Linked DNA regions of Saccharomyces cerevisiae S288C. The main gene of each other region encodes a partner of the protein of the gene in region 2 in a complex. Each region holds a gene or a part of one and is shown on either strand. Other genes may lie near its edges. A codon is read from its position in the direction of its gene.

Region 1 (6,733 bases), on a different chromosome or scaffold from region 2:
GATTACTAATAGAATGTGCGCCACTTTTTAAAGTGTATTTTATCAAAGGATTTTCCGGGGTTAGATCACGCATTAATGCATTAGAAGTTGGCACCGGCGAACACTGGTCAGTTATATGATTACAATATGTCAATGAAAATAGTTTCGGAATGTACGGCATCGGAGTGAAACATAACTGCTTGAATTTTCCACGTCTTTCATCCAAGGATACGCAATGTCGAACATGCTCAACGATATTGCTTCTCTGGGTGCAAGGAAACAACCTGTCCCTTAATATTCCAACTGAGTTCACAGAATCGAATAAGCCTTGAAAATGTATCTTTACCTCGTAATCCCTAGAGAATGTTTTCTTGAATTCTTCAGCCAAGGTACTTGTGTACTGTAATTCATTAGGCTGCGAATCGTATTCCCATTTTTCATAGATTTGCCATGCCATTTTAACCATTTCTTCCAAACCTTTACTCAAAAGTCCGACTCTTTCAATCATTCCAGCAAGAACTCTTGCAATAAAAGCTCCTCTAGAAAAGCCAAACATATAAATTCTATCTCCTGGTTCAAAATACTTCATCAAAAAAAGATATGCAGAACATATGTGATTGTCTAAACTGAATGCGAACATAGAATCTAATAAATTTTGTAAGTGAGAAATAGTTAACCGTCTTCTGACATCAACAACAGCGTCAAATCCAACTGAACCAATTCCAGGTTGGTAATAACAAATTTGTTCAGAACTATCACCGTTCTCAAGAAGGTTGTACAATTTTAAAATATTAGTGAATGGCTGAGGTCCAAAATTTTCTCTTGTTCCATCAAAACAAAGAATGATATTCTTGCCAGACGATGAATGTGAGGATGGATTTATACTTCTGTCGCCTCCCGTCCCATTTTTTTTATATTTTCCATGAATATAATTGAAGCTATCCATCTAATGGATATTATGTTAGTGTATTATTTTTTATAAGTTACATCACCTGTTTGCTGTTATTTTACTACATCTGTCTGAAGTACATTAATTTGTGGCGGTTTAACAGTATATTGAATGTGACAAACACACCCAGACACCTCAATAGACAACAGGAGGGCCATTACCATAATTTCATAACATTAAATATTCCAAGTAACATTTTTCAGAAGACGAAGAAAGACTAATTAACAGGATAATAAATATTAACATTATCTTTTAAGTACCATACTTGAAGCGTCAATTGATGTATGTTTGGTTTTCCACTATTTTCCTAAAAGCATGAATCTTTTCTAGGCAAAAAATTGGAATGACGACTCCTGATCGTTAAAATGGAAGACAAACACTAGAAGTTGACTTCAAAAAAACTTCTTTCATTAAATAAGGGAAATATCCGGCCGGCTCATACTGATAATATACCAGCAACATTTACAGGAAACTGCAGGTTTTAGGCAGTGTGGCGAACCGCAAATAAAGTAATAAACAACAATTTCAAACGGAAAGGACTCCTCTGCTAAAGATTTGATGTTTTTAAGTTCTTTTATAGTTTATATTGGCATAAGAGGTAAACCATATTTAGCACTTATTTTCATAAAGTATTAGAAGTGTTCTTATATATTTCATTACCCGACTTGAAAAATACTACGCGGTTCATTGCGAGAACCTTCAATAAGTGTCGAAAGAGCACCTACATTGGCGTTTAAATAATAAACACACCAACCTACATATTACGTTGAATTTAAATTCTTTCACTGCTTGTAAACCATAGACAATAAACTGATTAATTTAGTATCTAAAAAATCTTTTAAAGGGAAAGAGAAGAGGCGGAAAGATGAGTGATAGGGAATTCGTCACGGTAGATCCCGTCACTATCATAATCAAAGAATGCATTAATTTATCGACAGCGATGCGGAAATACTCTAAATTTACCTCTCAATCTGGAGTGGCCGCTTTGCTGGGGGGAGGAAGTGAAATATTTAGCAATCAAGATGACTACTTGGCTCACACATTCAACAATTTGAATACCAACAAGCACAATGATCCATTTTTATCTGGATTCATTCAGTTAAGACTTATGTTGAATAAACTGAAAAATCTAGATAATATAGATTCACTAACCATATTGCAGCCATTTTTATTAATTGTGAGTACAAGTTCCATTTCTGGTTACATCACTTCCCTGGCCCTGGACTCTTTGCAGAAATTCTTTACCTTGAATATCATCAATGAATCATCGCAAAACTATATTGGTGCACACAGGGCGACGGTAAATGCTCTAACACATTGTAGGTTTGAAGGATCTCAACAACTTTCTGATGATTCAGTTCTTTTGAAAGTCGTGTTTTTACTGCGTTCAATCGTCGACTCACCTTACGGAGATTTATTATCAAACTCTATCATATATGACGTATTGCAAACGATTCTTTCATTGGCTTGTAATAACAGAAGGAGCGAAGTCCTTAGGAATGCTGCACAATCAACAATGATAGCCGTTACCGTAAAGATTTTCTCAAAACTAAAGACTATTGAGCCTGTTAATGTGAATCAAATATACATCAATGATGAAAGTTACACAAATGATGTATTGAAGGCCGATACAATTGGCACAAATGTAGAATCCAAAGAAGAAGGAAGTCAAGAAGATCCCATCGGCATGAAAGTGAATAATGAGGAAGCTATTAGCGAGGACGATGGCATTGAAGAAGAGCATATTCATTCAGAGAAGAGCACAAATGGCGCCGAACAACTAGATATTGTGCAAAAAACAACAAGATCAAATTCCAGGATCCAAGCGTATGCTGATGATAACTATGGATTGCCCGTGGTTAGGCAATATTTAAACTTATTACTATCATTGATTGCGCCAGAAAATGAATTAAAACATTCATACTCCACTAGAATATTTGGCCTAGAGTTAATTCAAACGGCATTAGAAATTTCAGGTGATCGATTGCAGCTATACCCACGGCTTTTTACACTGATATCAGATCCTATTTTCAAAAGCATTTTGTTTATCATACAGAACACTACAAAATTATCACTACTTCAAGCTACATTGCAGCTATTTACTACTCTAGTTGTTATATTGGGCAACAACTTACAATTACAGATCGAGCTCACTCTAACAAGAATATTTTCTATTCTTTTAGATGATGGTACCGCAAATAACTCGAGTTCTGAAAATAAGAACAAGCCATCAATAATAAAGGAACTTCTAATTGAGCAAATATCCATCTTATGGACTAGGTCGCCATCTTTTTTTACTTCTACTTTTATCAATTTCGATTGTAATCTCGATAGGGCAGACGTTTCCATAAACTTTTTGAAGGCTTTGACTAAATTGGCCTTACCAGAATCCGCCTTAACTACCACAGAAAGTGTACCACCCATTTGCCTTGAGGGATTGGTCTCCCTAGTCGATGATATGTTCGATCACATGAAGGACATTGACAGAGAAGAATTTGGCAGGCAAAAGAATGAAATGGAAATCTTAAAAAAGAGGGACCGTAAAACAGAGTTTATTGAATGTACCAATGCATTCAATGAAAAGCCCAAAAAGGGTATTCCGATGTTAATAGAAAAAGGTTTCATTGCTTCCGACTCCGATAAAGATATTGCGGAGTTTCTTTTCAATAATAACAACCGTATGAATAAAAAAACAATCGGTTTGCTACTTTGCCATCCGGACAAAGTAAGCTTGTTGAATGAATATATTCGTTTGTTTGATTTTTCAGGGTTAAGGGTCGATGAAGCTATTAGAATTTTGTTGACGAAATTTAGGTTGCCTGGTGAATCGCAACAAATTGAAAGAATCATCGAAGCCTTCTCGTCTGCGTATTGTGAAAATCAAGATTACGATCCATCCAAAATCAGTGACAACGCGGAGGATGACATTTCTACTGTTCAACCAGACGCTGATTCTGTTTTCATTTTAAGTTATTCAATTATTATGTTGAACACTGACCTACATAACCCTCAAGTGAAGGAACACATGTCATTTGAAGATTACTCTGGTAACTTAAAGGGATGCTGTAATCACAAAGACTTCCCATTCTGGTATTTGGATAGAATTTACTGTTCAATCAGAGATAAAGAAATTGTTATGCCTGAAGAGCACCACGGCAACGAAAAGTGGTTTGAAGATGCTTGGAATAACTTGATATCTTCAACTACTGTTATAACTGAAATAAAAAAAGACACACAATCTGTCATGGATAAATTAACACCCTTGGAGCTTTTGAACTTTGATAGAGCAATTTTTAAACAAGTTGGCCCAAGTATTGTCAGTACTTTATTCAACATTTACGTAGTTGCATCTGATGACCATATATCTACCAGAATGATAACAAGTTTGGACAAATGTTCCTATATTTCCGCATTTTTTGACTTCAAAGATCTCTTTAATGATATACTAAACTCCATTGCTAAGGGCACTACTTTGATTAATTCAAGCCATGACGATGAACTTTCAACTTTAGCTTTTGAATATGGCCCAATGCCACTGGTGCAAATTAAATTCGAAGACACTAACACTGAGATCCCGGTTAGTACAGATGCTGTTAGATTTGGTAGATCATTTAAGGGTCAACTAAATACAGTTGTTTTTTTCCGGATTATTCGCAGGAACAAAGATCCTAAAATTTTCTCCAAGGAATTATGGTTAAACATTGTTAATATTATACTAACATTGTACGAAGACTTGATTTTGTCTCCTGATATTTTCCCTGATTTACAAAAAAGACTGAAATTAAGCAACTTGCCTAAGCCATCTCCTGAAATTTCTATTAACAAGAGCAAAGAAAGCAAAGGTCTCTTATCAACATTTGCTTCTTATTTAAAAGGTGATGAAGAACCCACAGAAGAGGAAATCAAATCCTCAAAAAAAGCGATGGAGTGCATAAAGTCGAGTAATATTGCCGCCTCTGTCTTTGGAAATGAATCAAATATAACAGCGGATTTAATAAAAACTTTACTAGACTCCGCCAAAACTGAGAAAAACGCAGATAATTCCAGGTATTTTGAAGCAGAACTTTTATTTATCATCGAATTGACTATTGCATTATTTCTATTTTGCAAAGAGGAGAAAGAATTAGGAAAGTTCATACTTCAAAAAGTTTTCCAACTTTCTCACACGAAAGGCCTCACGAAAAGGACTGTTCGTAGAATGCTAACATACAAAATTTTGTTAATTTCGTTATGTGCGGATCAGACGGAGTACTTGTCCAAATTAATAAACGATGAGCTGTTAAAAAAGGGGGATATTTTTACCCAAAAATTTTTTGCAACTAATCAAGGTAAGGAATTTTTGAAGAGACTATTTTCATTGACCGAATCAGAGTTTTATAGAGGATTTTTACTAGGAAATGAGAATTTTTGGAAATTTTTAAGAAAAGTTACAGCAATGAAAGAGCAGAGCGAGAGCATTTTTGAATATTTAAATGAATCGATCAAGACAGACAGCAATATTTTGACAAATGAGAACTTCATGTGGGTCCTAGGACTATTAGATGAAATTTCATCAATGGGTGCCGTTGGAAATCACTGGGAAATAGAATACAAGAAATTGACAGAAAGTGGTCATAAAATTGATAAGGAGAATCCATACAAGAAATCGATCGAATTATCATTGAAATCCATTCAACTAACATCACACTTGCTGGAAGATAATAACGATCTGCGTAAAAACGAGATATTCGCTATTATTCAAGCTTTGGCACATCAATGCATCAATCCGTGTAAGCAGATAAGTGAATTTGCAGTGGTAACGCTAGAGCAGACGCTCATCAATAAAATCGAAATTCCAACTAATGAGATGGAATCGGTAGAAGAATTAATTGAGGGCGGATTACTACCGTTGCTAAATTCGAGTGAAACACAGGAAGACCAGAAAATCCTCATTTCATCCATATTAACAATAATTTCAAATGTTTATTTGCATTATTTGAAACTAGGGAAGACAAGCAACGAAACGTTTTTGAAAATTTTGAGTATTTTCAATAAATTTGTAGAGGACTCAGATATTGAAAAAAAGCTACAGCAATTAATACTTGATAAGAAGAGTATTGAGAAGGGCAACGGTTCATCATCTCATGGATCTGCACATGAACAAACACCAGAGTCAAACGACGTTGAAATTGAGGCTACTGCGCCAATTGATGACAATACAGACGATGATAACAAACCGAAGTTATCTGATGTAGAAAAGGATTAAAGATGCTAAGAGATAGTGATGATATTTCATAAATAATGTAATTCTATATATGTTAATTACCTTTTTTGCGAGGCATATTTATGGTGAAGGATAAGTTTTGACCATCAAAGAAGGTTAATGTGGCTGTGGTTTCAGGGTCCATAAAGCTTTTCAATTCATCTTTTTTTTTTTTGTTCTTTTTTTTGATTCCGGTTTCTTTGAAATTTTTTTGATTCGGTAATCTCCGAGCAGAAGGAAGAACGAAGGAAGGAGCACAGACTTAGATTGGTATATATACGCATATGTGGTGTTGAAGAAACATGAAATTGCCCAGTATTCTTAACCCAACTGCACAGAACAAAAACCTGCAGGAAACGAAGATAAATCATGTCGAAAGCTACATATAAGGAACGTGCTGCTACTCATCCTAGTCCTGTTGCTGCCAAGCTATTTAATATCATGCACGAAAAGCAAACAAACTTGTGTGCTTCATTGGATGTTCGTACCACCAAGGAATTACTGGAGTTAGTTGAAGCATTAGGTCCCAAAATTTGTTTACTAAAAACACATGTGGATATCTT
Region 2 (3,006 bases):
CACTTTTGGATACTTAGCCGCCGACGGATACCATCTTCGGTCAACGTCGGAAGTCATTATAAACGAAAAGGTTTCCCAATAGAAAAGTCCTGCAGGAGCCACGTATAACACTGGCTTGAATTATCAACAACTCTCGAAGGCGCTGGAAGAGAATTTTTACGCAAGTTAGTATTCGCATAACATTAGTTGGCAAATTACACAATTTTTTGATACAATATATATACATATATTTTCCCCATTGTTTTTCTTAGATGCCCACGATGATCAAAAAGGATGATAAAGCAATGGAGCCCCCTAATGAAAAACCGCATAGAAAGATCGAAAGAGATGATGTTCCAGAATCTTCCAATCACATCCCACCTCCAGAATCTGGTGTTTTAAAGGGCGGTAAAGTTAATTCAAAAACCAGAGCTTTAAAGGCCGTTACAAGTATCATTGCAGACGCCGATGAGAACCCTCAGAAGAAAGTGAACAATGAGACGAATGGAGTCCAAAAGCAAAAGACAGAAGATTTGAGTAAAAGAATAGGTAAATTTGAATACCTTTTTTACAAGTTTTTACTTGTGTTGTTATACATCTGCTTCGGGTTGTTTCGGTACGGTCAATACCAATATAATAAAATGAAACTAAGAATATTCAGTATCATCTACAACCATGCATATACACCACAGTTGATTAGACAGGACGTTATTCCTCTGAAAAAAATTCCTAAAAGGTTGGCCGCTATCTTGGAAGTCAAGCCAGTTGGCGACGTTGGCGGCGGTGTGACAGGTTTATTAAATGACGCGAGTGAAATTGTTTGCTGGACTGTTTCAGCTGGTATAAAACATTTGATGTTGTACGATTACGATGGAATATTACAAAGAAATGTTCCAGAGCTGAGAATGGAAATTCATTCCAACCTGGCTAAATATTTTGGGCCAGCTCATGTTCCAAACTACGCTGTTAAAATACCTCATTCTAACAAGATATTCTACAATCTAGACGGAATTGAAACCGAGACTGATGTAGGCAATGAGATAGAAGCTAACCAAGAAAAGGACAAAATTGCTATTGAAATTTCTTTATTGTCTAACAGAGATGGTAGAGAAACGATTGTCGATCTGACCAAAACTATGGCTGAGTTATGTGCGGTTAACGAATTGAGCGTTTCTGACATCACAATGGATTTAGTTGATTCAGAACTGAAACAACTAGTTGGACCCGAACCAGATTTACTGTTATACTTCGGGCCTTCGTTGGATTTACAAGGGTTCCCACCTTGGCATATTAGATTAACCGAATTTTATTGGGAAAAAGATAACAACGAAGTCATATATTCGGTTTTCATCCGCGGCCTAAGACAGTACGCAGGATGTAAAGTGAATGTTGGTAAATGATACTTAAGAGCTAAACGAAAAGATAAGTATCTCGCTCAACCTTTTAATTTTGCACAGTTGAATTCTCGTCTGATACTTAAGAAAGTCATTGCCCACATATATAACAGTAGTAATAATGATAATGATAGCAATAGTTTTAAGCTAGCTACTTAGTTGCATTTTTCAATAGTTTAGTAAAAAAAGTCACGCAATAAGCTCTCAAGAAGCCACTAATACCGTAATGATAGCAGTTTATTGTAGAAAAACCATGTTATTACCCTTCCCTTTTTATTTCTTTTCGCGTTGCAAATCACATATAACGAGGTGGCTTGTATTTGTCAAACCAAAAAAAAAAATGAAAATCGAAAAATGGAAAAACAGAGAGAGAAACGGAATCTTTGACACGTTCTCGATCCACTTGTTTATCGAGGTGGTTTTTATAAGTCTTACTAGATAGAAAGTTCATTTTGTTTTGAAACTTTTTGGAACCTCTGGCATTGAAGGTATAAGAAAGAACTCAAACAGGTTTAATAGAATTAAAAATGGGTTTGTTTGCCTCTAAGTTGTTCAGTAACCTTTTTGGTAACAAAGAAATGCGTATTCTTATGGTTGGTCTTGATGGTGCTGGTAAGACCACCGTTTTGTACAAGTTGAAATTGGGTGAAGTTATCACTACCATTCCAACAATTGGTTTCAACGTTGAAACTGTCCAATATAAGAACATTTCATTCACTGTCTGGGATGTCGGTGGACAAGACAGAATTAGATCTCTATGGAGACACTACTACAGAAACACTGAAGGTGTTATCTTTGTTGTCGATTCTAACGATAGATCGCGTATTGGTGAAGCTAGAGAAGTTATGCAAAGAATGTTGAACGAAGATGAATTGAGAAACGCCGCTTGGTTGGTGTTCGCTAACAAGCAAGATTTGCCAGAAGCCATGTCTGCTGCTGAAATCACTGAAAAACTAGGTTTACATTCTATTAGAAACCGTCCATGGTTTATCCAAGCCACGTGTGCTACCTCCGGTGAAGGTTTGTATGAAGGTTTGGAATGGTTAAGTAACAGTTTGAAAAACTCAACTTAAAAATTCTAGAATATGGATCAAATACGCTTGTATAAACTAAATGAAACATAAAGATTAAGAACTTAAGAGGCCAACGTCGATGGATTTATTGACGATCACCAGCCAACACATATAGATTTTAGTGTAAAAGCAATAAAAACCAAGATAATAAAATAAAAAAATACTGAAGAAGCCTAACTAGTATAAACTACTTTAACTAATAATGGCAATTTGATATAGAAACAAAGAAACATGATATATTTAGGATATTATACAACGCATTTTCATTTGTTTTACAGCACCCCTGCGTGAATCATATATTGACGTTTCGCTCTCAGGTCCACCGTGTTCTCAAAAGATACTTTTAAAACCTAAAACACACGAAATCATATTATGATAATTCAGAATGATAGTGTGGTACTGTGTCAATTGACTGTTCAAGACTGAAGAGGATCTTTGATTTGTTGTTACTCAACAAATAATCTTCACGAAAACTTTCTCAATCTGGGGACTGTATTAATCTCAGACCCATACATATCTACACCCATAACTTTTTACATTTAATTTTTTATCACATAATA

The links. Proteins that work in one complex are often made in the same cells at the same time.
Region 1: the proteins of ARF1 (region 2) and GEA2 are in contact, whole or in part, in a cryo-EM structure (PDB 7URO), measured with the Saccharomyces cerevisiae proteins. Residues at the interface, in NP_010089.1 of Saccharomyces cerevisiae: Glu17 (codon at 1,949), Arg19 (codon at 1,955), Met22 (codon at 1,964), Gly24 (codon at 1,970), Leu25 (codon at 1,973), Gly27 (codon at 1,979), Lys30 (codon at 1,988), Ile46 (codon at 2,036), Pro47 (codon at 2,039), Thr48 (codon at 2,042), Ile49 (codon at 2,045), Gly50 (codon at 2,048), Phe51 (codon at 2,051), Asn52 (codon at 2,054), Val53 (codon at 2,057), Thr55 (codon at 2,063), Thr64 (codon at 2,090), Trp66 (codon at 2,096), Asp67 (codon at 2,099), Val68 (codon at 2,102), Gly69 (codon at 2,105), Gly70 (codon at 2,108), Gln71 (codon at 2,111), Arg73 (codon at 2,117), Ile74 (codon at 2,120), Ser76 (codon at 2,126), Leu77 (codon at 2,129), Trp78 (codon at 2,132), His80 (codon at 2,138), Tyr81 (codon at 2,141); in NP_010892.1 of Saccharomyces cerevisiae: Leu646 (codon at 3,729), Arg650 (codon at 3,741), Leu651 (codon at 3,744), Pro652 (codon at 3,747), Gly653 (codon at 3,750), Glu654 (codon at 3,753), Ser655 (codon at 3,756), Gln656 (codon at 3,759), Gln657 (codon at 3,762), Ile658 (codon at 3,765), Glu659 (codon at 3,768), Phe699 (codon at 3,888), Ile700 (codon at 3,891), Tyr703 (codon at 3,900), Ile706 (codon at 3,909), Met707 (codon at 3,912), Asn709 (codon at 3,918), Thr710 (codon at 3,921), Asp711 (codon at 3,924), His713 (codon at 3,930), Asn714 (codon at 3,933), Pro715 (codon at 3,936), Gln716 (codon at 3,939), Val717 (codon at 3,942), Lys718 (codon at 3,945), Glu719 (codon at 3,948), Met721 (codon at 3,954), Asp725 (codon at 3,966), Asn729 (codon at 3,978), Leu730 (codon at 3,981).

Annotation. Positions count from the first base shown.
Region 1 is NC_001137.3:109,628-116,360, forward strand, and holds GEA2 (Arf family guanine nucleotide exchange factor GEA2), read left to right. Parts: upstream 1-1,793; coding exon 1,794-6,173; downstream 6,174-6,733. Other genes in the region: YEL023C (uncharacterized protein), read right to left, coding at 1-925; URA3 (orotidine-5'-phosphate decarboxylase), read left to right, coding at 6,540-6,733. UniProt on the Saccharomyces cerevisiae protein: Activates the ARF proteins by exchanging bound GDP for free GTP. Plays a role in maintaining mitochondrial morphology. Stimulates DRS2 flippase activity.
Region 2 is NC_001136.10:114,421-117,426, forward strand, and holds ARF1 (Arf family GTPase ARF1), read left to right. Parts: upstream 1-1,900; coding exon 1,901-2,446; downstream 2,447-3,006. Other genes in the region: NUS1 (ditrans,polycis-polyprenyl diphosphate synthase), read left to right, coding at 252-1,379. UniProt on the Saccharomyces cerevisiae protein: GTP-binding protein involved in Golgi vesicle trafficking. May modulate vesicle budding and uncoating within the Golgi apparatus. May recruit the lipid transfer protein VPS13 to Golgi membranes.